4 linked regions of the Stegostoma tigrinum genome follow. The protein of the gene in region 1 purifies or fractionates together with the protein of each later gene. This does not show direct contact. Links are inferred from orthologs where the notes say so. Each region holds a gene or a part of one and is shown on either strand. Other genes may lie near its edges.

Region 1 (7,345 bases):
TAATTTTTCACTTACTCAAGAAACCTAATGGATCTTTTCATTTAAAACCTAAAATAGATATGTTTAATTGGCCATCTCAGTAACTGAGAATTTCTTTTATGTTGAGACTGTGTAGTGGGACCAGAATGACAGTGTCCTCCTTCAGCCTTGGTTATAATAGTGCTGGGATGGGAAGGTCAAATTTGGGTTTTCCCACCCAGAACTTAATTTGTGCAAATTCGAAAAGGGTTCCACCAACTTCCATAATTAATTTCACGTGTGGCTTTGGGGCCTGCCACCTCTTGGCCTGGAACTTCAGCTTGAGAAAGATTCACTCATCATGAAATTCCACTCTCACTGAACACCTAGTTTTAGTTTTTAAACTCTTGTTCACAAATACTCTACATGACCACTTTATTAATGCCGTAAATCTTAACTCTGACCAATCTAAAAGCATTTTTTCTTCCACATGTTTGTATGCACTGTTAGTTCTAATCCATTGGTGCTGACCTACATTTCAAATTATCTCTCACCGGTTGATCCCTAAGCACAGGTTTCCTATTTTCAACATCAGCATTGTTTCAAATGCACTCAATGACTTTGACTCTGGGCAAATCCTATTATCTTTCTCCAATTCAGAAATATCTCCCGCAGATATATTCACGCGGGGCAGTCCTTCTTTCCATGAAGTCCCAAATACTGCAGTGCAGACACATAAGTTGCTCTACCATAACTTAGTCTGCACTCCTAACAATGTTTAATTCGTGGTATACATGAACTCACACGAAACATTAAAGGACTGGACAAAATTTGGAGTTACTTAATGTTAAGATATTTAAGCCACAGAAATAGTACAGTCATTGCTTCCTTTCCTGGTTCTCAATTTTAATAACGCCCCCTAGTGACGTTTCATGCTCTTATTGAAGGTTTTTGTTTATACATGATTGGCACTTCAGATTGATCACAAGCATTTCCACTTTAGTATTGATTTATTTGGTTACTATTACACAACATTATACAAGTAAAGGAAGCAATAACACTTGTTCCAGAGGTGAACAATAATACCTCTAACATGTTGGTTAGAAACTATCTACAATTTACAGAAAACTATTACACACCATGTTACCCAGAAATCATGGACATGATTTACAGCTCTCCTTTGTTTATTATTCATTTGTGAATAAACTTGTTAAGTATTATGTCTTGCTTTAAAAAAATAACAATTTTTTTCTATAGAAAGTGAGTTTGGGGAATTGATAATGAAAAATAAAGAGATGGTAGATGAATTGAACAGGTATTTTATAATGAATGTTCACTGTAGAGGATGCAAGTAATATTCTGGAAGATTTATAAGTCAAGAAATGCAAGAGAGGGAGGAATTCAGTAAAATTATGATTACAATTAAGTTTTGGAGCTGCAAGCTGACAAGTTCCTGGATCCTAATAGATTTCATCGTATGGTTCTAAAAAAGTGGTTGGTGAGATAATTGATGCATTGGTTTCAATTCTCTAAAACTCTCTAGATTTAGGGAAGGTCCTATTAGATTAGAAGATAACTCATGTAATTGTTTATTTCATAACGGGAGGGAGTCAGAAAGCAGGAAATTACAGACAAGATGCCTCATTATCACGTGATTCCTTGCCCCAATGTGATATTCCCCTACTGGACAATGATGAGTTGCAGGCCTACAATGGGCATTAGAGACAGGATAGCACTGATTTAGAGAGGTTGTTCAGACAAGATGTATCTTGGGACAGATGAATTATATGGCATGATGGTTAAACAGCACCTAGGTTGAGAGAATGGGGTTGTATGTGTGAGGGTGTATCAGACATGCTGGCTATGTGCCTTGGCCAGCATGACTTTGTGCCTGCTATGCCATTATATACGTGCCAGTGAGGAGTACTTGCCAAATCTTGACTAGCTGCATTGCAGCCTTTCAAAAATAGCATGCTCACAAGGAATGCTGGTTCTTCCGCCATATGGATGACATTCTAATTCACTGATTCACTGCAACTGAATGTGATGGAAGAGTGAAAGCAATATTTAAATACATTTTCATTCATGATGAGTTGGTCCAAGAGAAGTGTGTGGTAGGATGGGGTTGAAATTGGACCTAAGGGATGCCATAGAACACAATAGGTAATTAAAAAGGTGAGTTTGTTCAGACACAATGAGGGTACTTCTTACATTTTGCAGCGAATAACCTTCCAAAATCTTGCACAGCCCTGACACAGCCAAAAACAAAATCAGCCCATGTTATTCAAATAGTGAGAGATTGCAGAGCTCTGATATGCAGAGGGATCTGTGTGTCCTACTGCATGACCTACAGAAGGTTAGTATGCAGGTACAGCAAGTAATTAAGAAATTTAATGGAATGTTATAATTTATTCCATTCACTTACACATGACATTGGTGGAACCATATCTGGAGTCCTGTATATAGAATTGGTTACTTTATTTATGGAACGCGGTAGAATGCGTTGGAAGCAGATCAAAAAAGGTTTACCTAATACTTGGAACAGGCAGACAGGTTGTCTTATGAGTAAAGGTTGGACAAGTTAAGCTTGCATCAACTGGAGCTTAGACCAGTAAGAAGCAACTTAATTGAAACATGTAAGATTCTGGGGGGTCTTGATAGAGTAGATGTGGAGAAGATGCTGCCTTAAACAGGAGAATCTAGGCCAAGGGAGTCACTATTTAAAAATAAAGGCTTGCCCCTTTAAAATAGAGATGAGGTAAAAAAAATTTCTCAACAGGGTTGTGAGTATTTGGACATTTTACCCCAAAAGGCAATGAATTTTTAAGACAGAGGTGGCTTAATTCTTGTAGGAAATGAGGTGAAAGTTTATCAGGCTTTGGCAGTAATATGAATGTGAGGTTATAAACAGATCAGTTATGACATCATTAATAAATTATAGAACAGGCTCAAAAGGGCATGCAGCCTGCTCCTATGCATAAGTTTATCACGCAGTTTGTGAGACACTGTTTTAATCATCTACCCTTAGCACTATATCAATTCCAGAGATTGATCCAGAAAATTATTGACACCATAGAAGTATTAAAAAGGGTTAACTGTCATAGGGATGACATTCTAATTCACCGATCCACTTCATCGGAACATGATGGAAGAGTGACAGTGATATTTAAATACATTTTGATTCATATTCTTCATGCAACAGGCATTAAGTCTGACCCACAGAAGGTTACAGCCATCAATGCTGTCCCACCACTTTGAAATACTGTGGAATTGCAGCAAATCATAGGAATGGTTAACCAGGAAGGGACTTTTCTTTTACCAAATCTGGCAAAAGGAAATGAACTACTATAATAATTGCTTAGACAGAATCAAGCATGGTTAAATATGAAAGCCAGAGGTTGGTGATGGCTTCTTATTGCGTTGTCACTTTCAGTGTTTCTAGCAATCCATCCACTCCCAAATACACATGCTCTTCCATGTTGAAACTTCCACCAGCTTTCAAGATTCTATTTTCACTTCTTCACATTGCTTACAATCAGATGGTGGGTTACTATGCATTGTATTTGAAGTTTTAGCAAAGATTCATGTATACATTATGTGCTAATTCAGGCTGGGCTGGTGGACCTGATGGAGGGATTGAATAGATTGGGACGACTGTTTTGCATTTTTTTCATATTTGAGGATTTTGATATTTCTGTAGGAGGCTTGTAGAATTCCTATACGATTTTAGCATGTGTATCTGACACCTAGCTCTGATTGGTTGAGTTTTATATTCCTTTCTCAATATAGTTATTTTATCAACGAATTTATAACTTTTTTTCTCTTCTTGGAGAATAAATGAATTATTAAAGAAAGTAGGAAATCATATTTGTATAATGCCTTTCATGACCTTAGGTTTTCATAATGTGCTTTCTGGTCAATAAAACACTTTTTACAAAAGTAGTCATGAGGATATATGACATGTATTGGTAATCTATCAGGAGCAATGTTAATAGAAGAATGAACGCTGACCATGCAATAGGGCAGAACGCCCCCTTATTTTGAAATAATTCCCGGGGATCTTTTGGATGTAACTGAGAGGTTCCATATATCAACGTTTCATTATGGCAAGATTACACGTCTGGAATTTTAGCCTCAATCTGGATTATATGCTCAAACCAAGATTTGTACATTTCAGAAGCTTTATCAAAAATGTTTTGTTTGAATAAGTGTAGTGGCAGCGGGAGCCTGACAGAATGACCACTGAGTTTTCAGCATGACGGTTCCTTCCTTTGTCAGGCATTAACAAAAATAACTTTGTATAACTAGTTGAGGGTCGACTCATGATAGCGGGCTGGATGGCAAATTGCCAAATGTGCTTTGGGGCTGCGGCCAAGGGAGTGTCTTCCCTGCAGTTTTTGTCGGTCTGGCCTAGAGGTCGGCTTTGGACTTCTCAAAAACACTAATACCGACTTAATCTTTAGAAACAAGTGAGGCTGAACTTTCGCTGAAAAAGAAGTCATAGAAGGGCACACTCAACGTTACTGACAGCAGCACCCGGGTGATGAAGCAAAGTTACTTTTGGAAACTCCCCGCGGACTGAAACTTCCGTAACTCATTTCTGATTTTTCACTTTGAACGGCCAGTATTGCAGTCATACTGTGACCACTGCTGACGAAGTAACCGACGGGTTAAAGACTGGTCGTTCTCACAAGCCAACCAGATATTTATTTTTCTACGATCAAACATGAAAAGCGGTCAAAATTAGAACAGTCGATTAACCATGGCGGACTCGGAACCACTGGAGGGAAACCTGAAAAAGTTAATCGTTCGTCTCCAAAATGTCGAGCAAGGAAAAGAAATCAGCACTTTGCTTCAGATTTTAGACGACTTGATTCTCCTCACTACTGTTCAAAATGGTAAGTAATCGTCTAAGAAATTATATGTTTCAAAAATCCGTTATCGGAAGACGGGATGGACACATTTTGACATAAAGTGCTGATTGTTTACATCTTAAACAGCTTCGATTTTATTCGGAAATAAAAATGTCCACATGCCGTTATTGGTGGCTCTCGAATCGTTCACCGAAATTGCCAGTATCCAACAGGTAGGCTGTTTATTTACGTCTGGTTCTATGACTGCAACGAGTCGTGCAGATTGATAGTTTTATTTTCGTCCTGACTTGTCACCAGCCAAGTTCAATATAGGAGTGTTAAAGGAATCCATACTATTTGTTTTTGCAGTCCAACTGAAGGAAAAGTTTTATGAAAACGGTTGGCATGTATTGATTTCCAGAACTTAAGCGACCTGAATCAGCTGGTCACTTGTGCATGCCGCTGGGACAAGAGTGACGCACGCCCCTTCCTCACTCCTCAACTTGTTTAAAAAGTTAATTGCCAAATACTTTCTCTGAACATCATGTGCCTCTCATTGGAACTTTCCCCTTACTAAAATATTCTGGACTCAACTACATTTTAAGTACATAAGTCACTGTTACTCCTCTACTGAGACAGGATCTGAGAATACTTAAATAGACTTGTCAGCTATATTGCAAATACCCTATATCGAACAACACTTGAACAGCACAACATTGGCCTTTTGCAGGCCTTTGTGAGAACTCTGCATATGTGACAACACAGATAGCAATGTTAAATTAGTTTAGCCGCTATAAAACTTTTCCCAGTTGGGTTGGTCCGCTGGCTGCTTGATGCGGTTCAGTTGACAGGAACGCAATAAAAATTCAAAAAACTATCACTGTTTATTATTTTTAAGAAAGAAGGTTAGTTGAGAACTCAATAATTTGAGGCTATCTCTAACTTTATCCTCGACTTCTACCCTTGCATGTGAAAGCACTGGTGGAGATTTAGTCAAGGACTTATTGTGGGACTGGAACCACATATGGTCCAAACCGCATATTGTTTCCTTTTCTAAAAGGACTTTGTGACCCAGCTGGGTTTTATATAAGAGATAATGGGAACTGCAGATGCTGGAGAATCCAAGATAACATGGTGTAGAGCTGGATGAACACAGCAGGCCAAGCAGCATCCTAGGAGCAGGAAAGCTGACATTTCAGGCCTAGACCCCCGAAACGTCAGCTTTCCTGCTCCTAAGATGCTGCTTGGCCTGCTGTGTACATCCAGCTCTACACCTTGTTATCTTGGGTTTTTATATAAATCTGCTAAAGTTACAATCATGCCTGTGTGCAAATACCAGAAGATATGAAGTTCAGATTGTTCCTTCCTAGTTTAGGACTTGAATATTGCGGAAAACAAAGTAAAAGCTGCAAAAGATTTTTGAGACACTCCCGAAGACAGCAAGACAAGAACACTCCATTTCAAAATGAATGACAATTTATAATGCACATGAAGAGTTGCTTTTGACTGGTAAATCAACTCTAATTGGTCAAGGTATCCAGAAAATCTTGTTCCCTGACACTTTTGAATTTTTAAAAAAGGAAATGCTTGGACATCTGTTTTCCTGCAAATGAATACGTATCTTTTATCAAGCATACCTGAGCCACATTTTAAGACTGACTCATGATCTTTAAATTGGTTGCTTGCATAATTCTTAGTGCACTCAAGATTGGACAGCATTTACTGAGCAATCACTGGACTACATCCAGCATTAAACATTATCTTCTGATTTCTGCAAGCGCAGGCTAGTTGAATATAGGTGGCGCTCTGTTGCAAACATTCCATGGGAGGTGCTGGAATTTCTGCTGGGAGTTCAACATTGCTGTACACAGTAAAATTGGTCCATTCAGGAATCTTGTATATGGACCCTAAACCATTTGTTCAAGCTTGAGGTCAAAGTAGGATGCATCAAACCAACCTGTGGAATAATAGCTATTCTGTCATTGCTCGCTGTGTAATGCACAAACTTAAGTGTAGGTCTAGTGCTATCACTTTGCGACCTGAAACATGACAGTCTAACTCAAAGTACCTGAAAAGGATAATGATTCTCAAATACTTGAGCACCATTTCACTCTCCTGCTTATGCACTTGAACTATGAATGGTGTTTTGACCACGATGCTGTAATCAAGCCAAAGACTCTGGTGAATCATGTAATATATACACTTTGGCACCCTGATGATGCCTGGTAAGAAAGTTGTACGTCCTGGCAACTACCAGATTTTGCCAAGCAGGATCTGAATGTAATATGCCATCTGAAAGGTAAAAAGGTAAAGGTAAAGTCTCCATTGTCTTTATCAGTCCATATGATTGCTCGTGATGAGAGAGAGATGACTGGTGATGGTTTAACCTGAGGGTCACCACGCCTCAGAAAAGTTGAGAAGGAGAAACCTTTACACACCTGAAAGGTAGCTGCTATTAAGCAAAAAACCTTAAATATCTTTCCACATTTACCATATATTAAATAAGCTTTCTCAACTCTTTTTGAATTTTAGAA
Region 2 (7,440 bases), on another chromosome or scaffold:
ACTTAGAGGAGATTGTAGAATGACAAAGTTGATAGATTTTGACCAATTGAATAGGCAATTTGAAATTAATTGAGGTGATATCTTTTAGAGTATCTGTATTTGCAAGGGCAAAAAAGAGAGATTACATGGTAAAGGAATGCCAATTCAAAGCGTAAAAAGTTCACCGTGGAGTGGCTGATGACAGAAATCTTGAGTTACTATTGTCTCCAACAGCTTGTCAGATTGCCTTACACAGTCAGCGACTTACCTGAGGACTAAACTGAAGGAAGAAATCTTCTGAAGAAGGGTCTAGGCTCGAAACACCCGCTTTCCTGCTTGGTTCATCCAATTCTACACTTGTTATCTCAGATTCTCCAGCATCTGCAGTTCCTGCTATCTCTTGACTAAACTGAAAGTTCTGAGGAAAGGTCACTGGACCCAAAAACATAGACTGTTTTTTTCTCCTTCACAGATGCTACCAGACCTGCTGGGCTTATCCAGCAATTTTGTTTTTGTTACTAACCTTCTAGCATTTTGTGATAAAATTGTCCAGTTTTATTCCTCATCTAGAGGACTAATACAGATTTGTATCATGACAGTGTCAGTTGCTGCATCAAACAATTTGAAATTCTTACTTGAAATATCTGAGCAAGATGTTTTCTTAATGTTATTTTAGAACAGTGCCAAAAAGAAGTGCTCCTCAAAACATGTTTTAGGCAATGTTAAATTTAACAGGCAAGTTATTACTAGTGGCAGGTTTAGCTATAAAAATCAGTCAGCTTCTAACGCCGCACTGTCGGGCGAAAGGCTCTATCTGTTGATAATGAAATGTGAGGTTGGGTGAACACAGCAGGCCCAGCAGCATCTCAGGAGCACAAAAGCTGACGTTTCGGGCCTAGACCCTTCATCAGAGAGGGGGATGGGGTGAGGGTTCTGGAATAAATAGGGAGAGAGGGGGAGGTGGACCGAAGATGGAGAGAAAAGAAGATAGGTGGACAGGAGAATACAGGTGGGGAGGTAGGGAGGGGATAGCTCAGTCCAGGGAAGACGGACAGGTCAAGGAGGTGGGATGAGGTTAGTAGGTAGGAGATGTTAATGGTTTTTGCTCAAACTGGTTATGAGGTCGTTTAGAACACATCAGCTTCCCAGAGTACTTACTTGTACTGAAGTTGCACTTATGACTTAGAGAGGTTGAACTCCGCCAGTTTGCTGCATTTTTGTGTCTGCAGTGCAGTCGGAGAGCCGCAGAAACTCCCCTGGCGTATAAGCATGCACGAGAAAGCTGCAAATCAACAGAAACGGAGAAGATACAAGATCACTCCAAGTGAACTACGCTTGGACGAATGTTAAATTTATGTTTCTTGCAGACGTAAGAGAAGTAAAACCATAAATTGATAGTAGTGTGGCTCCCCAAACAAATTAAGTGAAATAATCAGAAATTCAGATCGCTTTATATCTTTCAATTTAACAAAACAAAAATGTGTTAAGGAGGTTGGGGGGGAGGGGGGGGGGGGGGGGGGGGGGGAAGAGAGAAAGAGAAGTGGGGGGGGGAGAGAGAAGTGGTGGGGGGGGGGAGGAGAGAGAAGTGGTGGGGGGGGGGGAGAGAGAGAAGTGGTGGGGGGGGGGGGAGAGAGAAGTGGTGGGGGGGGGGAGAGAGAAGTGGTGGGGGGGGGGGAGAGAGAGAAGTGGTGGGGGGGGGGGAGAGAGAGAAGTGGTGGGGGGGGGAGAGAGAAGTGGTGGGGGGGGGGAGAGAGAAGTGGTGGGGGGGGGGAGAGAGAAGTGGTGGGGGGGGGGAGAGAGAAGTGGTGGGGGGGGGGAGAGAGAAGTGGTGGGGGGGGGAGAGAGAAGTGGTGGGGGGGGGAGAGAGAAGTGGTGGGGGGGGGAGAGAGAAGTGGTGGGGGGGGGAGAGAGAAGTGGTGGGGGGGGGGGAGAGAGAAGTGGTGGGGGGGGGGAGAGAGAAGTGGTGGGGGGGGGGGAGAGAGAAGTGGTGGGGGGGGGGGAGAGAGAAGTGGTGGGGGGGGGGAGAGAGAAGTGGTGGGGGGGGGGAGAGAGAAGTGGTGGGGGGGGGGAGAGAGAAGTGGTGGGGGGGGGGAGAGAGAAGTGGTGGGGGGGGGAGAGAAGAAGTGGGGGGGGGGGGGGAGAGAAGAAGTGGGGGGGGTGGAGAGAGAAGAAGTGGGGGGGGTGGAGAGAGAAGAAGTGGGGGGGGGGTGGAGAGAGAGAAGAAGTGGGGGGGGGTGGAGAGAGAGAAGAAGTGGGGGGGGGGGGTGGAGAGAGAGAAGAAGTGGGGGGGGGTGGAGAGAGAGAAGAAGTGGGGGGGGTGGAGAGGGAAGAAGTGGGGGGGGGTGGAGAGAGAAGAAGTGGGGGGGGGTGGAGAGAGAAGAAGTGGGGGGGGGGGGGTGGAGAGAGAAGAAGTGGGGGGGGTTGGAGAGAGAAGAAGTGGGGGGGGGGTGGAGAGAGAAGAAGTGGGGGGGGGTGGAGAGAGAAGAAGTGGGGGGGGGGGGGGGGGAAGAAAGGTGACCTTCGCCAACTGGCTGCAGGAATTGAAGACCAGCAGACAGATTGTCAGTTAAAAACTGTGGCCTCCTGATGCTGCTCCAGCAAAAACGTGGAGCCATATCGCCACGTGATTGGGGTAAAGCAGTCACCACACGGGACGGGGTTAAAAACACAAACTCCAAGTCTCTTCAGAGAGGGAAAAGGGGGCAAGTAGACATTTCGTGCATCTAAAGGTATGGTTCACTGGGACATCTAGAGAGCGGCAAATGGCCACAGGCTGTCCAGCAAACATTGACGAGGCACCCGGTACTGACGAACAACGCCATTTGGGGGAGGTGGGAGAGGGAAAGAAAGCCACATTTCAGATATAACGAGTATTCACTACGACCGCGACACAAAGAAATGGAGAGAATTCCCCTTCACACACCCGAGTCACAGTCGCCGCCATCTTAGTGTCCACAGCCCCGCCCCCTCCAGGGGGAACGCTGGGCCGCTGTTAAAAATGACCATCAGTTATCAAAAAACACACCGAATTCAATGCTCCGAAAACAACACGCAAAGCCCGTGTTAAATAACATAGAAATAAAACAAACAAAATTAAACAGCGCCAGGACCCCGCCCACAGTCCATGCCGGATGTGATGTCACCAAATGCGCGCAATTTCCGGAGGAGCAAGATGAACTACATGCCAGGGACAGCTAGCCTGATAGAGGACATTGACAGTAAGGGAATGTATTAAATATTTATCATCGGCGAGTTGTAGCCAACCTCATGTGGGGTGTCGGTAGTAAAGAAGTGTATTTAATTTTCATTACGTTCAGCTGTAGTCAGTCTGGTGCAGGACGTTAACAGTAAGAGAATATACACATTTATTGTTATGCCTGGCTGTAGGCAGTCTGATAGAGGACATTGATGGTAAGGGCATGATGCTCAATTGTCATCATGTAGAGTTGTAGTCAGTGTGAAAGAGGCTATTGGCAGCAAGGGAGTGTACTCTCACTACCTGTGCTCAATTGTCATCAGTTCAAGCAGTCGCCAATCTGAGAGAGTTACATTGTCAGTAAGGGAATATATTCAATTACTGTCATGACAGGCTGTGGTCAGTCTGATAGAGGATGTTGACAGGAATGGAAAATACTCAATTATCATGTTGATCTACAGTTGGTCTGATAGAGGACATTGATAGTAAAGGAAAATACACAATTATCATTATGTTGAGCTGGAATCACTTTCGTAGAGGACCTTTATAGTTAGGTAATACACTCAATTATCATCATGTCAAACTGTAGTCAATCTGATGGAGGACATTTGAAAGTAAGGGAATAGACTCAATTATTGTCATGTTGAGCTGTATTCTGTCTGAGAACAATGATAGTAAGGCAATATTCTCACACTGTAGACTCAATTATTATCATTATCATCATCATGTCGAGATATAGTCAGTCTGATATGGGGCATTCACATTTGGGGAATAGACTCAATTACCACAATGTGCTGAAGTGATTCTGATAAGCAACATTGACAAGAATGGAATATGGTGTCATTCTCACAGTATTCTCAAATATTGTCACATCGAGTTATAACCAATCTATTTGCATAATTTGGTAGGGAATATACTCACAATGGACACTCAATTATCATGTCAATCTATAGTCAGTTTGCTCGAGGACATTGACAATAAGGGAATATACTCACATTGCATCACTAAAATCAAAGAAGATCTGTAAAATCTTTTAAAAGTGTTTAAAATGTAAACATTTGGCTGAAATAAATATAGGTTCTTTACAGGCACAGTTGGAAGAATTTATACTGGGAAATAGAGAAATGAGAGAGAAGCTAAATGATAAAATTTTGTCTGTTTCTCTGTGAACTTACCAGAAATCTCTCAGAAGTAGCGATCCTAGTGACTGAGAATGATAAGTTGAAAGAATTTAGAGTTAGTATGAAGATTGTACTTGAGAAATAATGGATTCTAAAGTTGATAAATGGCCAGGACATGAAACACTACATCACAGAGTGTTGAAGGAAATGGTTATAGAGGTAGTCATTGCATTGATGGTTTTATTCCAAAATTCTGTAGATTCTGTAAAGATTGCTGCAAGTTTGGAAAGTATTGAAAGTCATCCCACTATTTAAGGGACAGAGAGAAAACAGGGAAGTACATACCCTTTAACCTTACATCAGTAGTCAGGAAAATGCTAGAATCTAGTATAAACAATGGGATAAATAAACACTAGTTGATAATTACTTGGTTGGGCATGGTCCGGATGAATTTGTGATTGGAAAATTGTATTTCACAAGCTTATTGGCGTTTTCTGAAAATGGTACAATATGAATAAAGGAGAACTAATAGATCTAGTATATGTAAATTAAAATAAAGGGAAAAAATTGTTTACATCTTATTCAGGAAATATCAAAATGCATTGCATATTGTAGAACTCGTGTGAGCAAGTATATACAGACACTGAAAACTAATGAGCTATATTACCTGGTTAAATTATTGCCCATTATGTCAATTCATGGAATGGAACATGTTAGTCTTTTACACCTACTGTCAGCATCAAGCAATTAAATCAACTGTAACACAGAAGGGTGTATACTTAAGTTGTGTGGAGCCAGGTGTAGATATCTTTTCTATTATCTCCACAATGTACCCAATGATCTACAGTAAACTACACATGAGTTTAAATTTATGAATATGCCATTGGGCTGTGTTCATATTTAATTGTAATAATTGTAGGAAGTATAAATATATACAGGGCTAGACATCAGTGCTCCTGAGACTAATTTCCCACATGAAATGTAAAACAACCAAGACAACAACCAGTGCATAATGTTATTTTGAAATTATTTTTAAGAATTTGTATATTATAAATGTTGTCAAAATTTCCTTTTGCTGAATTTCTACATATGTTTGATTCTGTAAAATTAACAGACCACCATATCAATTGAAAATAGTAATGTATTTCATCGTTGTTTGCCATTAAAATTGTTGCACCACTATGAATATCATGACATATAAATATTCAATGTCAAATGAAACTTAAAATAATTGAGAAATATATGTCTTATGAAGGAAAATATTATGGAATTTATAACATCTATATGTGTATATTTTGATTTACAGCACTAGAAACTGCGAGTATTGCTCCAGTGACCCCTTTTAGTATTTCTAATAGTTTCACTTTTGCTTTTAAAGAATGACTTTTTAAAACAGAACTTTAAATATCAAGTGTTTATTTTTTAATAAGTCCATGTCTTGTAAATCTTCCTCAAAGAAGAGGGCTGTTTTTCTCATGTAAATTTTAGATTAATTCTTTAGTTATTTGATATTGGATGAGGTGGTATTGTCTTTCTTTCCAGACCTGATGGTCGTGTTGGAAAGCAATTTTAAATAAACGAAGGATACACTAAACTTTGGTAACTGCATCATACGTGGGAATAATGATTTTTCAAACTATTTGTAGTACTAAGACTGGTTTCCAGGATTTGAAAGGATACTTGTCTTTGCTCCCACATGAAAGGAACTTACAGACTGCAAATTCTGTGAATAGACAAATAAGCCTCAAGTCGTTATGCAGTAACATCTGTTGCTTATTTTTCATTCATTCGTGGGATGAAGGCATCGCTGGTAAGACCAGCAATTATTGCCCATCTGTAATTGCCCAGAAGGCAGTCAAGAGTCAACCACATTGCTGTGGGTCTGGAGTCACATGTTGGCCAGATCATGTAAGGATAGCAGTTTCCATCCCTAATGGACATTAGTGAATCAGGTGAGCTTTTTTCCCAACAATTAGCAATGGATTCATGGACGTCATTGTACTCTTAATTCCAGATTCTTTTAAAATTGAATTCAAATTCCACCATCTACCATGGCAGGATTCAAAGGTCCCCAGAACATTACCTGGGTCTCTCAATTAACAGTTCAGGGATAATACCTTAGGACATCGCTTGTCCAAGAGTTTAAAACTAAAGTTCCTATATACATATAAAGTAGATGAGAGTGTGTGTTTGAGCAAAGAATATTATTGAACGTCAGAGCTGTTATTGTCTTCCACCACCAATACCATCAAAATGCATTCACTGCCTTTAAGTCTGAAGCTAAAACTAAACAAAGTTAGAGAGGGTTTTGCCATACCCCATGGTCCAAATCTGAACACAATTTAGTGCATGAATAGAGGAAACTTTGGAAGTCAATACTCTTTTCAGTCCAAAGATGCAAAAGATTCAAAACTCATTTGTAAAATGGCAGTTCAGCCAACATTAAGAAGAAACAGGATGCTTCTTCTCATTTGCTTTATTCACATCGCACTTTTAGTGATCTACTGCTAAAGTACACCTTCTGAGAAAGAGATTTTGTGTGAGAAATGACTTTAATGATATGATAATAGTATAGTAGGGATAGGATTCCTCCCCGCCAGTTCACACCACTTTTGACACATACTCAATCATTTCATTTGTTAGTTTGTACTGTACTTTCTTGTGTTTCTCTGGGTTTATTTTGTAAAAACTCCTCACATCTAAAAACTTTCTGTTTTGGAACAAAGCATAATTAGTCATATGCATAATCTGTCAGATTTAGCTGATAATGATCATTATAACAGAATTTATGCTGTAAATATTGCCATACCTTATCCAGTTGTTCCTTCAGCTGATTGGCACAATTATTGTTTGCTATGTCTGACTGCTACTTGCAAGATGGCAGTGTGCTCCTGAGATGCTGCTTGGCCTGCTGTGTTCATCCAGCTCTACATTTTGTTATCTTTGCCTGGCTTGGCTGTTGTCTTTTTCCTACATAGGCAGAGATTGGTTACACCTTCTACTATCCATCATCCACAAGTGATTTAAAACAAATTCTGGCTAATCCAACTCTGCCCAGCACTAAACGTGTGCTTTGCAATGCCCAGTTGACTCTTCCCTGCATACGTATGGCAGCTCATTCCATACATGCATTACCCTCTGTGT
Region 3 (7,077 bases), on another chromosome or scaffold:
GCAATAAGTGGTAGAATTCTGAGAAATGTAGAGGAATAGCGAGATTTTGGGAATGCATGGCTTCAGATCTTTGAAAGTAATTGGAAAGAACACAAAATGATAAAGCAGGTATGCAGAATACTTCCTTTTATTGCCTGAGGCTTGGAGTAAAAGAGCATTTAGGGGATTATCAGTGATAGTAGGCACTGCTGATGATTGAGTCTGAGATAACAAGATGTAGACCTGGATGAACACAGCAGGCCAGGCAGCATCAGAGGAGCAGAAAAGCTGATGTTTCGGGTCTGGGCCCTTCTTCAGAAATGGGGGAGGAGAAGGGGGCTGTGAAATAAATAGAGAGAGGAAGAGGCAAAGGTGGATAGAGGAGCAGATCGTTGTGGAATTGGAGGAGGACCAGAATCAACATGTTGTCCAAGGAGTGGGAGGGGACTCTGTCTTGGAGACCGCTTTGTGGAGCACCTACGCTCAGTTTGTGACAAACAACAACACCTCCCAGTGGCAAACCACTTCAACTCCTCCTCCCACTCCTTGGGTGACATGTCCACACTGGGCCTCCTCCAGTGCCACAACGATGCGACCCGAAGACTGGAGGAACAGCACCTCATATTCCACTTGGGAGCCCTGCAACCCGATGGTCTCAATGTGGACTTCACAAGCTTCAAAATCTCCCCACCCCCTACCTCATCCCAAGACCAGCCCATCTCATCCCCACCTCCTTGACCTGTCCATCTTTTCTCCCATCTATCTGCACCTCCCACCTCACTGACCAATGCCCACCCCTACTTCCTACCTATTAGCCTCATCCCTGCCTCCTTGTCTTCTCTCCCTCTTCATTGACCGACCCCCATCCCAACTCCTTACCTACACTCACCTTTACTGGCTTCATCCCGCCTCCTTGGCTTGTCCATCTCCTCTCCACGTATTTGCTCCTCTTTCCACCTTCAAGCATCACCTCCCCTTTTCTCTATTTATTTCAGGGCCCCCTTCCCCTCTCCCATTTCTGAAGAAGGGTCCAGACCGGAAACGTCAGCTTTCCTGCTCCTCTGATGCTGCCTGGTCTGCTGTGTTCATCCAGCTCTAGACCTTGTTATTTCTCCCTACAGCTCACCATACAGTTCAATAAGGAACTGCCACCTCTCCCTCAAAAGCAGTTATGGATGCCAACAAATGCTGGCCCAGCCAGCGACTCCCTCCAGTGAACAAGAAAAAACCATATCTCCTTAAAACATGGATTAGATTTCAGCTGTATTTGGGCCATCATTCTGCCCACCATATTGCAGGAAAGGTATGACATTGTTAGAGATGGTTTGGAAGAGAATGACAAGAATGTTGCCAGGAATGGAGAATTCTGACAAAAAGGAAAACATTGATATTATTTTTAAGTGAACATTTTTTGGGATCAGATAAGGCTGAGGGAAGGTTCAGTTGAAGAGTATACAATTACAGTGAGATTTCAATAGAATGCATAGGAAAAATCTGCAGATTTAGCAAAGCGGTCAATAAGTAGGAGGGTTAGATTGTTAATGACAAAGTAATTGGTGAAAGAATTAGGGTTGGGGAGAATTTTTTTTCACTCAGAAGGCCTTGAACTCACCACCTGAAAGGGTGCCAGAGACAAAATTCTCCTTGTGTTTAAAAAATGGTCTGAAAAGAAATTGAGGTGCCATGTGTAACCTACAGGACTACAGTCCAAGTGTTGTAGGCGGAATTAATTTTGACAGCTCTTTAACAACAAGTACAGGTTTAATGGGTAAAATGCCTCTTCTGTCATTCATCTTTCTGTATTCTAAGAGTATTTGTTAATTAAAAATTGAAGTGTGCCAGTTTAAACAATACAGATTACATCTCAGGATTTTCTATATATTTTCCTTCGAATTTAATGACTCTGTAGGTTTTCACAATCAGAAGTTGAATGATGTTGTCCCAAGGAATCCCAAGCAACTTAGTTGGAGGCCAAGGGAGTTTCCTATAAATATTACTGTAGGACACTGAGTGATTTTACAGTTCCCTAATATTCCTTTGGTTCAGTGAACCAATTGGTCTCTTACTCTCTTTTGTTTGCAAATCTCAGTCAGTTTGGTGATACTGATGTTAAAACTGGCCTTCCTCCAGTTAGTAGATGGAAGATGAGAAAACAGATTGGGTTCCAGCTTCCATGTTCTGTATTGTCAAGACGAGAGCAAGTTGTGATGCACTTCAGGAGCAAACTGCCGATTGTCATTTACGGTGGAGACTCAGAAACAGACAAAATTTTGGAAAGCATGCCGTCCTTCAGAATTGTTTGTGAAAGAAAAGAAACAAAGGGGAAATATTGACCTAAAAAATGTCCAAAGGGCTCGTGAATATATTTATATTTAGGTATAGAAAAAGACTTCAATTTATATAACGCTATTTGGCAAAGTGTTTTAAAGCTAAGTAAGCATATTTGAAGTGTGATAATAAAATGTGAGGCTGGATGAACACAGCAGGCCAAGCAGCATCTTGAAGTGTAGTCACTTGTGTTGCAACTGATGAATAACACAGCAAATTTGTGTACAGCAAGCTCTCATAAAAAGCTTTGTCGATAATGGCCAGATGATCTGTTTCAATAATGGTAAATGAGTGATTAATATCAGCCAGAACTCCAGGGATAAAACCTCTACTCCTCTTCAGTACAATACAATGGAATCAGAGAGAAGATGGAGTATCAGATCAATGGTCCAGATATTTTGATCACAGTTGGAAACATTATTTCTATCCCTGCTCGGATTTAAAATTACCCGCTGATCCTCCGATAGCTTCTGCCTTGGAGATTTTTCGACAGGAGTATCCTGTTAGGGGAAGTATCGATGAATCCAGCAGCGAAAACGATCTTCATAGAAACCATACCAACTTTTGCAGCAGTCAGTGCGCTGTATTCTGTCATTACAAAAAAACTCCAGCAGCACCGCTACCTTTACAGCTCCTCTGGAAAGGTAGGGGTGGGTTATGGTGACAGTTGGCGAAAGGGTTAGGGTGCAAGGTAAGTGATGAAGTTCCAGAAGGAAATGGCAAGGAGGTGGGCATGCACAGGAATAGTGAGCTTGCCTGGGAATGTCAGGCGAGCAGGTGTGACGGGGAGAAAAGCGTGTGAGGGAGGTGTTATTGAGTCCTAATGCCATAGTTTGAGAGTGAAGGGTGTTTGATCAACAGGTTCCGTTTGGGGAAGGGGGCGTGTAGGGATTGGGGGTTGTCAGGATCTGGGAGGAGCGGGTGAGGCGAGGATTGTAAGAAGTTGGGAGTGGGATAGTTGTGGGGGAAGGTGAACAGTGAGTTAGGCATTCAGTTGAATAATTACTCAGGAGTTTGAATCCTCCAACTTTTCCTTGGTAACTATTAGGGTCACTGAGTTGGAACCCTCTACATTCTTTGCATTTAACGGACTTTTTCCCGAGGGTTGCCAAATGCCGGAACATTGCCCATCAGAAAATTCAACTTCCCGCTCAACTCTCACTGTGTCTGGCTTACACACAGTCCAACGCGCTAACTCCAGGCTGCATTGCTCTAACGTCAATCTGCCCATCACAAAATCTGGGCCGGTCTGCTTCTCCTAAGGACTGCACCTCTGTCAGCGCAGCATTACCTGACAATCCACAGGTTTTTTTCGTGTGTGTGCGCGCCTTAGTCATAGCTATAGTCATAGACACGAACTCCGAGAATTCACCCAGATGGATAATGGCGGGGGTGGGGGTCCCCGCATTAATGTTTCTCCCTCTGATCTCATTCACTGAAGTGGCAAAAGTATAAATGCCGTTATAAACCCGAAAGGGATTTCTGCTATTTAAATCGCCAGACTGGGGTCGCAGATCTCTCAAGCCTTGCATCCAGCTTATCTCTTCACCAGGAACATCCTGCTCCTTGTGCCGCCTCTGCAGCCCCTTCCCTCTCTCTGCCCCCGGCTATAGTAGCCTGCCCTCACCTGGTGCCGCTGGTGCGTGGTGCTGGAGCAAGAGGCGGGGAGAGCAACAGCAGAAGGTGATTAGCATAGAGCCTGAGTGAGACACACCCCGCCCGAGGCTGGGACTGACACAGAGGGAGGGGAGAGCACGCTTCACTAGGTCTGGGGTTAGTTAGACAGGGAGAGAGCCGAGCAGCGGGAGCACCGTCAGGCTTTGTCCTCTTTTAGCTTGTGCACAAAGGACAGAGAAGGATTCGGAGTTGCACACAGTTTCACACTGAAGGTAACGCTCTACCCCCCCCCCCCCCCCCCCACCACCACGGTTTCTCTCCAATGCAAAGAAAGCCGGGTTCGAGAGGGCGAAACCCCGAGCCAGAGCTCTTTTAAGATGTAGCGGGGTTTTGGAATCTCGGCTATGAAACTGAATGGGGATGGTGAAGTCGCGTGTTTGAAGTGAACGTTTCACTGGAGTAGGGTCCGAGTTTCAACCGAAATTAACTTATGCCCTGGGATAAAAGAAGCTGGTCCGGCTGCCTAGCTGTTTCTTAAACAAAACCGTCCCCTTGACCCAAACAAAGGCAACTAAACAGCTTTACAAACACAAAATACAGCTGTAGGTCGGAAATAGAGAGGATGCTAGAGAATGAGCGGCTCTCTGATTTATCTGGAGTGTGTGAGGTGGAGTTTGGGGTTCTGTCCTCACCCCCTCTCGCTGTGAGTGCCTTTGCACGGGCAGTTTAGTGGCTGTAGAGGAGGGTGGCAGTATCTTTCTCTTGGTGCTGCGTGTTGTCTCCAGGCCGGCAGATGGACACCCGCGGTCTGTATTGTCATGTTGTTCACTCAAAAGGCAGGCAGAGTTCCGCGTGAGAGCTGCTCTTAACCCTCGGCTATTGGGTGAAATCTGTAATAACTGCTCAATGAAAAGGCTAAGCAGTGTCCGCGCCACTGCAGTAATGTGATTCAGATGTGATTGAAACCAGATGATTTCTGGTGTGTGTGTGTGTCTCTCTCCCCCCCCCCCCCCTCCCCAGTTTAATCTTTCTGATGTCTGTGGTATTGAGTAGTCCGTTGAGCGGAAACTGCCATGATTTTGTTGTTCGCCCTCTTTAGCTTTCACTTATTTTGTTTTTGTTTCTCCACGCTCCACTGACTCTCTGGTTTGCTCTTGATCTCCAAACGTGCCCGTTTCTGCCGGATTCCGCCTTGACTGAGTGGTCAAGCTCCCAGCGCCCTTGTTGGTTTTACGTTCTGCGAATAGTAAATACCCTGACACTGCAAGATGCGTGTGTGGCCATATGAGCAGGCGACACTTAACCTGGTTTCCCAGCACCTAGTCTGCACAGTACTGACAGCGTGTTTTGAGAAGTTTTGGTGTGGCGGTGTAATCAGTAAAAGTCTTCGACGTTTCACTGATTATTTGCGGACTTGCAGAAATCTGTTTAAAGAGCTAAGATATAAAAGGAAGTAACTCCCACCCCTTAAACGAGACGTGTTTTTGAAACGCCTGACACGGAAGTATAGAGATTGCACTGTGAAGTCTTCGGCAGCAGGTAAAGGTCAGAGTGTGATGTCTGGCTAACTCCCATGCGCTGTGTATTTTTAACTGCAGAAGTGTCCAGGCCGATGATAGCCAATCCTGAATACAGAAACAGTTCTTGGCTTTCTGCAAATTAATTAGATGTTTAACCACAGTGCCAGCTCCCTGGAAAGTGCCACTCCCTGCGTGCACGTTGAATCAGCGAAATGTATTGCTAAGTCAAGATAAAGGGACAGAATTTATACATCCCAGAAAGCAAATGAAGCAGAATAGTACTGGAGCCAATGTTTATGCACTTTTACAAACACTTACAGATTTACGTGCCACAAGCAAGCACCTCGTAACTCAACCACAGTTTCAGTTTCTGTCTATTTACAGAGGCACAGTGAATTCCCAGCTAATACGCATCATCGGCGCACAGCTAAAAGCATTTAATATATATTTCTGCAAGTGGCTACTAACTTTTAAAATTTTACTCATGGGACTTTATTGCCCGTTTTTAGTTGCCCTTTAGAAGGTGGTGGTGAGCTTCCTTCTGGAACTGCTGCAATCTACATGGTGTAAGTAGGTCCAAAATGCCTTTGGGGAGGAATTCCAGGATCTAGACCCAGTGACGCTGAAGGAATGGAGATATAGTTTGAGGTCAGGATGGTGAGTGGTTTGGAGGGGAATTTGGAGGTGGTGGCATCCCCATGTATCTGTTATATTTGTCCGTCTAGATGGGAGTGATCCTGTGTTTGGAAGGTGCTGTTTTAAGGAACTTCAGTGAATTTCTGCAGTGCATCTTGTAGAAAATTCATACAGTACAGTTGCTACTGAGCATTGGTGGTGGAGGGAGTGGATGCGGTACCAATCAAACGGGCTGCTTTGTCCCGGATGGTGTCAAGCTGAGTGTTGGAGCTGCATCCATTCAGGCAAATGGGGAGTATTGCATCGCACTCTTGACTTGTGCTTTGTAGATGATGAACAGGCTTTGGGATTCAGGAGGTTAGTTACTTGCTGCAGTATTCTTAGCCTCTGACCTACACTTGTTGTCACTGTTTATATGACAAGTCCAATTGAGTTTTTGGCCTGTCACAACTCGATGTTGACAGTGGGGGATTCGTTGATACTAACACCATTGAATGTCAAGGAGTGGTGACGGTCTGTCTTTGGAGATGGTAATTGCCTGGCATTTGTCTGATGTGAATGTCACTTGCCATTTGTCAGCCCAAACCTGGACATTGTCCAGATCTTGTTGCGTTCGAACGCAAGCTGCTTCAGAACTGAAGAGTCATGAGTAGTGCTGAACATCCCAACTTCTGAGCTAATGATAGAGGGAAGGTAATTGAGGAAGAAGCTGAAGATGGTTGGGCCTAGGACACTTCCCTGAGGCACTCCTGCAGAGATGTCCTGGAGCTTAGGTGACTGACTTCAACAATTACAATCATTTTCCTATGTGCCAGATATGACTCCAACCAACAGAGAATTTGCCCTCGATACACATTGATTCCAGTTTTGCTAGGGCTCCTTGCTTCCACACTCAGTTGAAATTAGCCTTGATGTAAAGGGCTGTCACTCTCACCTCACCTCTACAGTTCAGATATTTTGTCCATATTTGGGTCAAGGCTGTAATGAGTGGAACCCG
Region 4 (7,979 bases), on another chromosome or scaffold:
AAAAGAGAGAGCAGTGTGAACTGCAAAATCATCAAACTGTCATGTTTCAGAAGGGCCATATAGTTGGCAAGTGCAGGCCAATCAGCTTAACCTCAGTGGTGGGAAAACCTTTTGAAACAATAATTCAAGACAAAACTAAGTCATTTTGACAAAGAGAAAGGAAAGGTAGAATTAATTTTTTAAAAGGAAATTATTTTTTAACCAAGTTGGTTAAGATCTTTGACGGTAATGTGGTAGATGTTCTATGTATCAACTTCCCAAAGAATTCCAAATAACTGCCACAGAACAGGCATATCAGCAAAGTTACTGCACATTAATTAAGAGGGGTAATGGTCGTGTAGGTATAAAATAACTGAGTGACAGTTGCTTTTCAGACTGGACGTGAACTGAGGTTTTTCAGGAGTCTTAGAATCACTGCTTTTCTAGATCTGTATCAATAACTTTGCCTTTGGATATAGGGTACAGATGACAGAAGATTTAGAAGCATTGCGGACAATTGACTGAAAAGTATGAAGTGATACATTTTGATAAGGGGATTGAGAAGATAAAGGGTATAAAGGTACGGATGCAGACAGATTTAAGACTAAAGGAAAAAAACAAATAAGAATTCGGTCCCTTGACCTTGCTTTGTCAGTAACTAGGTTCATGGCTGATCTGATATTCCTCACATCCACTTTCCTGCCCTTTTCCCCAAACCCATCATTCCCAACTGATCAAATATACATAAGGACTCTGCCCTGCAGCTTTCTACGGGCAAGGAGTTCCAAAGACTTAAGTCCTTAGAAGAAACCTCTCCTCGTCTCAATTTTAAATTGCCCTCTCCTTTATTTTAAGCCCATGCCCTCTGGTCCGAGACTTTCTCAAGAGGGGAAGAATCCTCTCAGCATTTACCCTGTCGAATCCCTTAAGAATTCCCTATGTTTCAAATGAAGTCACTTCTCATTCTTCTAAATTCCAATGAATAGAATCCCAACCTGTTTAACCTTTACGTATAGTACAATCCCTCCATAGCAGGGACTATCCAAGTGAAGCTTATCTAAACTGCCTGCAATAAAATAATATCATTCCTTAAATAAAGGGACCAAAACTGCACGTAGTACTCCAGATGCAGTGTTGGCAGTTCCTTGCACAGTTGCAGTAAGACTTCCCTACTCTTTGATTCACAATTCCTTGAAATAAGGCCCAGCATTTCATTAGCCTTCCTGATTACCTGCTGAACTGATATGCTAGCTTTCAGTATTTTATGCATCTGTACCCCAAGTTCTTTTGTGTTCTAGCTTTCTGCAGTTTTTCTCCATTTAAATAATACTGTTCTTCTGTTCTCTCCAAAACTAAACGACTACTGCATTTGCCAACTTTCTTAAACATATCAATATCTTTCTGTAGACAGTTTTTATCCTCCTCGCAACTTGCTATTCCACCTATTCTTGTGTCACTGGCAGATTGGCTACAGTACACTTCCAAGTCATTAATATTAGATTGTAAGAAGTTGGGTCCCTGTACTGATCTTTGTGGAACTCCACTGGTTATGGGCCGCAAACTTGAAAAAGAATTTCTTATCGCCATTCACCATTTCCTTCCATTAATCAGTTCTCTATACATAAGAATATACTGTCTCTAATACCACGGGTTCTTATGACATAGTTGTCATTATATGTGTACAAATCATTGATGATGGCAGGTAGTGTTGAGGGAAACGATTAACAAGACAAATGGAACTAGTATGGTCAACAATTTTCCAAGGTCTAGCCAACTCCCAAAGTGAATTATTATTTATTTTCTTCACCCTGAGTAAGATCTTGAGCTTTATAAATTGCAGGCTTCTGTATAAAAGCAAACCCTGGTTGACTGTCAACAATAATATGTCTAATTGTGGGCATACTTTAGAAACAATCTGAAGGTATTGGAGAGGATGCAGAAGAGATTACAAGAACAGTTCCATAGTGAAGGCCTTCTACGAAATGGATAGATTGGAGAAGTTGGGATGGTCCTCCTTGGAGAACGCTGGCTGGAAATGTGATAAAGTTTGTTCCTATCCCGGTTGAGACTGAATTTCTTTTTACAAAAATTTGAACAACCAGTTATGAGCTGAGGAAATGGCATGTTCAGGCTTCATGTTTTAAGACATTTATTGCAATAAATTACTAAAAACTATTAACTGAACACTATCATTGGAAGCAATTATACTTTAAACCAGAGAACAGAATATCTCCTTTTGTATTCTTGGCACACCTGAAGAAACACAGTTTCCAGCTATACTTACATTTTACTTAGCATGGATATTCATTTTCTCCCACTATCGATCCAGGATGATTCTTGGATAAAGAGGTTTTATTCTTGTTTTCTTTTCTTAACCTGGTGTCTTCTTATCGTAGAACTGTCTTGTACTGTGAGGTGAGGTTTCCTTTCCCTGGAGATCATCCCTCTAGCCTAATCCCGGTAACATTTCCAGTCTCAAAATTAACTCCCGATGAATTTAACCTACTCATTCGTAAATGCTGTTTTTCACAGCATTGTTGTACGCTGAACCACAGAAATTGATTTCATATCCAGCTTCTTCCTGGCCTGCTAGACAAACTCAGACAGGTCACAGATCTTTGTTTTATCTGAAACTAAAAAAAGACTAATTCCAAAACACTTCTTCATTGTAATTGGAAAATAAAGGAAGGTATTCAAAATCATTAGGCGTTTGGATAGAGTAGATTAAAAAATATTGCTATTTGCAGAAGTGACAATAACTGGAAGGCACTGATTTAAGGAGACAAACAATGGAAATAAAAATACATGAAAAACATTCTTACATTAGATTACTGGCTGAGTGTGGTAAGGACAGATTCAAATGTGATTTGATGAGAAAAGTATTTACAGACTATGGTGAAAGGAATTGTGTAGCAGATGGAAGGGAATGTTCCCAGGTTGATATTACAGAAAGTCACATACATGAAGGGCTGAATAGCCTCTTATATTGTAACAGTTTCCCAGCTTGTGAGCGCTGCCTCAGTAAAATACACCCCAATGCACACTTTTTGCTCTGGGAAGGTAGATACAGGAGTGAGTTGGGAGTAAAGACCCTTGAGACAGTATTGGTGGTCACAGAAGTGGGAAAACTTAGAGGCATGCTGGTTAGAGAGCCTATCTAATTTCTCTGGGAACTCTAATGTTAGAAATATACTGCATTGGAGAATCTTTCCTGCTATTTTAGTGTAGAATCGAAGTAGTAAATTGATACATATACTACATTCCTTTGAGGACATAAGTAAAATTTGTAAAAATTCTTAAGGAGTTTGGTAGGATAGATATTTGGAAAATAGTTTCTTTGGCTAGTGAATCTACCAAAAGCTGCTGTTCCTGTAACCATGTAAAAATGTCAGTCAGACATCAACACTTCACATCCTAATCTTGCCCAAATAAATATTGAAAGATTTACAAAAGAGATCACAAACAGAACAACTAATAGCTCATTTAAGATGTCAATCAAGTGGTCAATAATTCACTTGAGTTATCAAAACAGAACCCTTTGCTGAGTTAATATTTTTATTGTAGTGCATTCCCGGCTATCGTTACGTCGGTCAATGAACACAGGAGTAATAGGCAAATTGACAGTGGCATTGGTACAATGATAGCGAATCTTTAATTTTCTTGTGTGAGAAGCACAGAGAGAGGCTGGACAGGTGATCATTGGAATAAACAGGTCTGAAAAGTCTCAAAGTACAGATGAGAGTTTCAGCAGTAGATGGGCTGAGGCAGTGTTGGAATTGGTTGGCTTGAAGATGAAAATAGGTAGTGTTAGCATAGAACAGAAGCTCATCTGTTTCAAATATGACATCAATGCTTCACTTGTCTGGTTCAGTCTTAGATGTTTGCTAGAGAGAAGTGAAATTGGAACGGTAGAATGGTGTTGTAGATGGAAGTGAAACCTATATAACTGGAGGAAATTTCTGCTCATCCAGTACTTGATGTCAAACAGGTTGAGACAGGTGGTAATGAAGCAGAGCTCTGTCATAAATATATATGTGGAACCTGACATTGTTTACAGAGAATGTCACCTAGGGTCAGCGCGTAGATATAAAATAAGATGGCCCAGAATAGATCCTTGGATCCTTGATACCTAGGTATCAGTTTGTCATATTAATTTATTGCTTTGGCTGGGTAGATAAGGATGTAAATAGGCTACTGTAGTTCCATCCAGCTCAATGACAGAAATTAGAGGTGGATGTGTAGTCAACATGTTAAAGCCTACAAACAAGTATGAGGAAATGAGGAAGGTAATTTTGCTATTGTCATTTGTTTCTTCCAGTTCTATCTCTTTATCTTACAGTGGTGAACTGTTTCTCAATCTACATTCTCTAGCATTAACTTTTGCAATTATCTGTTCACATTGTCTTCTGTTTGTGTTTATGGAGACTTTCCTGTCTCTTGAGGATGCAGGTCATTTCCTCTCTGTTCTACCTCCTCCATACTAAAAAGCGAAACGGCCTAGATTACATTAGTTGGAAACAAAACCAAAACTTTTCAAATTAGTTTCTTTACTCACTTTATTCCCTTTAAATACCATGTAATTTTCAAAGTTTCAAATTCTAATTTCAAATGTATCTATTCCATCTTGAGCAGAAGGCACATTTTTGGTATTAAAAAGTCTTCACTTCAAGTAGATTTTTCTTGAGTATATCATTGATATATTACAGAAACATTTATAAATTAAGGTTTGCATTTTCCTTATTTATGCAGTATGACAGGTAGAAGGCGTTAACTAAAAGTATACAGTGTACAAATACAGATTCACAAGCAAAATAGCCTACATCCTAGCAAGTTTGAAGAGTTACCGAAGGAGTTGACGGGGATTGTAGTCTAAGGCTTTGTTACTGAGGTTTGCTGTTTGGGGAAGTGAACTACAATTCCCAGAGAGCAGTACGCGACCATTTCGGCGGCCCGGTACTGCAAGGGCTTTGCGCGTGCGCGTTGATTGGCGTCGGCGGCGAGCCCAGGAGGCGGACAGATCCTTCCCCCAACCCGTGGGCAGGCAATGGTGACAGTTTGAAGTGGGGCAACGGTCAGTCAGTGCGCTCTGCTATCACTGCGGTGCGATGGAGGCGCTGATTCCCGTCATTAACAAGCTGCAGGAGGTGTTTAACACGGTCGGGGCCGATATCATCCAGTTGCCGCAAATCGTGGTGGTGGGGACACAGGTATGGAGGCCGAGGATCGAAAGTTGGGGCCGCGGCTGTCGGCGGGTTTGGGGAGACTGTGAGGGAGACCAATAGCTGTCACTCATTCACACTATCTGCTTCATTGGGGAGTTAAAATCGTAAGGGATTTATCCAGAGTCTTCATTTCGACTAGTTTAAGTATTTCCGCCGCCATATTTTTCTTTCAATTTCAGATTTTCAAATAGCGTTTTGTCTTCTATTTGAAATTTTTAAGTGTCTTTGTAAGATAGCTGTGCAAAACAATCCACGGCCCCTGCAGGGGAAGTGAACAAATGTAGGAACGGATACTGAAACCATGTTGCACAGTTCAGGAGAGGTCACTGAAGGTTGTTTGAGTTTTGAGGAGCTTTCCAAAGTAAGGGGGTAGTCAGGGAGTATCAGGCGCCAGAGTGGAGGTGGATGAGGTTTCTGCTGTAGTGAGAGAAATGAAGGAAAAGATCAGGTCATATTTAGAGGTCGTAAGATTGAATCGTATTGTAGAAATACAGAGGGGAAGTAAAATTCATGGAGGTTTCTCACTGGCGACAAGGAAGCCAGAGTATGTTAGTGAAGACAGGATGATTGATGGAGCAGTGTGGGACAGAAGACAGGCAGCTGGGATTCAACCACTTGGGAGTTTGTGGCATGTGACGATGGATGATGGGAGAAGGGACACTAGAACAATCTCATTTGATGGTGACAGAAGGGTCGATAAGGGAGTGAGTGGAGGAGAGCTGAGAAAATGCTGGAAATGGGCAATGTTGCGTGACTGTAAGTGTGATGACTTTTATACTTCAGAACTATGGTTCAAAATCAAAGAGGCAGCCAAACCAGGTTTCTCTCAGAGGGTTGTCAGCCTGTGGAATTCTCTTCCCAGAAGGTAAAGGAGGCTGTGTCATTGAATGTATTGATGAATGATTTTTGATAGATAAGGCAGTCAAGGTTTATGGTGGGCAGTCAGGAAAGTCAGATCACAACCAGGTCAGTCATGATGATTTGAATGGCCTACTCCTGCATCAAACTCTTGTGTTCCCATATTCTGTTTCCCAAAGATGGGATTTGAATCACTAGTGAGGAAACTGTTTATGACAGGAGCCAATTTGTTTTTTTCATTTGAATAATTGATTCATTTAAGATTAAATTTCAATGAAAAGGGAAATTACAAAGAGATAAATGGTTCCTTACGTGTAAGATATTTTATCACAGCATGGTATTTGTAAGAGAGATGACAGCTTGAAGCATAGATCTTTTGGGAACTTGAAATGAGAGGGGAGATAGTGTTTTTGTTATTTATTCCCCCAGATATGAGCAATGCTGCCAAAACAGCATTTATTACTAAACCCTAGTTGTTTTGCTACTTGTGTCTTGCCTTTCAGCAAGTCCTGTTACCCCTCACCCTTAAACTTGCTGACTGACATTGCTGCCTGTCAAGTTATGACTTGATTCTAAAATTCTCACCTTTTGTTTCAAATACCTTCTCCCTCTGCCTAAAACCCTGCGAAATGTCTCTGTTTCTTTAATTCTGGCCTGTGTTCTGATTCATGATCTTAATTGATCCTATTTAGTAGGACATTTAGATAATCCTAATTCAGTCAAACAGAGTCAGTATGATTTTATGAAAGGCAACGTGCATTTGTCAAACTTATTAGAGCGCATGGATGATGTCAGAACATGGTGGGTACAGAAAAATAGCGAGTCAGGATGAATGGGTCACTTTCAAGTCGTGAATAGTAGCTCGTGGGTTTCCCGGGAATAACTGTTGGAGCCTGAACTATGTATAGTCTGTGCTAATTGCATGAAGAAACCAACTGTGTTGAAGCCAGATTTACTGTTTATGTAAAGAAGGAAAGCAAGTTATGAGGAGGTTACAAATGGTAACAAAGGTATATAGATAGGTTAAGTGAGTGTCAAAACAAATGGCATATGGTATGTTCCGTGACAAAATACTAGGTTGTCCGCTTTGGCAAGAAGAATAGAAAGTCAGAATATTATTAGAAATGGAGACACTACAGAATGCTGCAGTACGGAGGATTCTAGGTACTCTTGTATCTAAATAACAAAACATTAATATGCAGGCACAGCAAATAATTAGGAAAGAAATGGAATGTTGACCTTTTGCAAGGGGATGTCTTCCTACAGTTGTTCTGAGCATTGACCAAACCACATCTGGAGTATTGTAAGCAGTCTTGGTCTCTTCATGTAAGGATGAGTAAATCTGCATTTGGAGTTGTACAGAGGATGTTCACAAGGTTGATTCTGGGAATTAGGATTTGTCTTCAAGACTGAGAACATTGGGAAGGTGGGCCTGAACTCGTTAGCGTTTAGAACAATGAGAGATAATTATAATTTGAAAGGTATAAGATTCTGATGGGGCTTCATAGGGTAGATTCTGGGACGATGTTTTCTTACATGGAACAACATGGAATTAGGAGACACAATTCAAAAATGAGGAGTCTCTCATTTAAGACTGAAATTAGGACAAATTTCTTCTCAGAGGGCATTTGGTCTTTGGAATTCTCTTCCATAGAGAGCAGTGGACACTGGGTCATTGGATGAATTCAGAGCTCGGTTTTGATTGGCAAGGGCATCGCAGGATATGCAGGTAAGGCAAGAAAGTGGGGTTAAGATGTAATCAGATCAACAATGATTTTATTAAATGGCAGAACAGGCATGATGGGCCAAATGACCTACACTTACTCCGATTTATATTGTGAAACTTTGCTTGATAACACTTAATTACATTAATGATAGTATATGAATGCACATTGCATTCACTTACAATATTAGTGAATG

What was found.
Region 2: the proteins of lrrk2 (region 1) and prdx3 purify together in Homo sapiens (co-immunoprecipitation; 3 studies listed by BioGRID and IntAct, with this or other methods). This does not show direct contact. The link is inferred for Stegostoma tigrinum from reciprocal best matches to the Homo sapiens genes LRRK2 and PRDX3.
Region 3: the proteins of lrrk2 (region 1) and myo1b purify together in Homo sapiens (affinity purification with mass spectrometry; 3 studies listed by BioGRID and IntAct, with this or other methods). This does not show direct contact. The link is inferred for Stegostoma tigrinum from reciprocal best matches to the Homo sapiens genes LRRK2 and MYO1B.
Region 4: the proteins of lrrk2 (region 1) and dnm1l purify together in Homo sapiens (co-immunoprecipitation; 6 studies listed by BioGRID and IntAct, with this or other methods). This does not show direct contact. The link is inferred for Stegostoma tigrinum from reciprocal best matches to the Homo sapiens genes LRRK2 and DNM1L.

The regions. Positions count from the first base shown.
Region 1 is NC_081378.1:38,590,822-38,598,166, reverse strand, and holds the start of lrrk2 (leucine-rich repeat serine/threonine-protein kinase 2), read left to right. Parts: upstream 1-4,340; 5' UTR 4,341-4,720; coding exon 4,721-4,856; intron 4,857-4,958; coding exon 4,959-5,044; intron 5,045-7,345. UniProt on the Homo sapiens protein: Serine/threonine-protein kinase which phosphorylates a broad range of proteins involved in multiple processes such as neuronal plasticity, innate immunity, autophagy, and vesicle trafficking.
Region 2 is NC_081373.1:25,473,564-25,481,003, forward strand, and holds the start of prdx3 (thioredoxin-dependent peroxide reductase, mitochondrial), read right to left. Parts: upstream 3,017-7,440; 5' UTR 2,924-3,016; coding exon 2,903-2,923; intron 1,262-2,902; coding exon 1,138-1,261; intron 1-1,137. Other genes in the region: U6 snRNA-associated Sm-like protein LSm1, read left to right, coding at 3,104-3,197. UniProt on the Homo sapiens protein: Thiol-specific peroxidase that catalyzes the reduction of hydrogen peroxide and organic hydroperoxides to water and alcohols, respectively. Plays a role in cell protection against oxidative stress by detoxifying peroxides.
Region 3 is NC_081360.1:35,473,989-35,481,065, reverse strand, and holds the start of myo1b (unconventional myosin-Ib), read left to right. Parts: upstream 1-4,061; 5' UTR 4,062-4,196; intron 4,197-7,077. UniProt on the Homo sapiens protein: Motor protein that may participate in process critical to neuronal development and function such as cell migration, neurite outgrowth and vesicular transport.
Region 4 is NC_081371.1:18,785,525-18,793,503, forward strand, and holds the start of dnm1l (dynamin-1-like protein), read left to right. Parts: upstream 1-4,963; 5' UTR 4,964-5,084; coding exon 5,085-5,186; intron 5,187-7,713; exon of another isoform or gene 7,714-7,782; coding exon of another isoform or gene 7,783-7,788; intron 7,789-7,979. UniProt on the Homo sapiens protein: Functions in mitochondrial and peroxisomal division.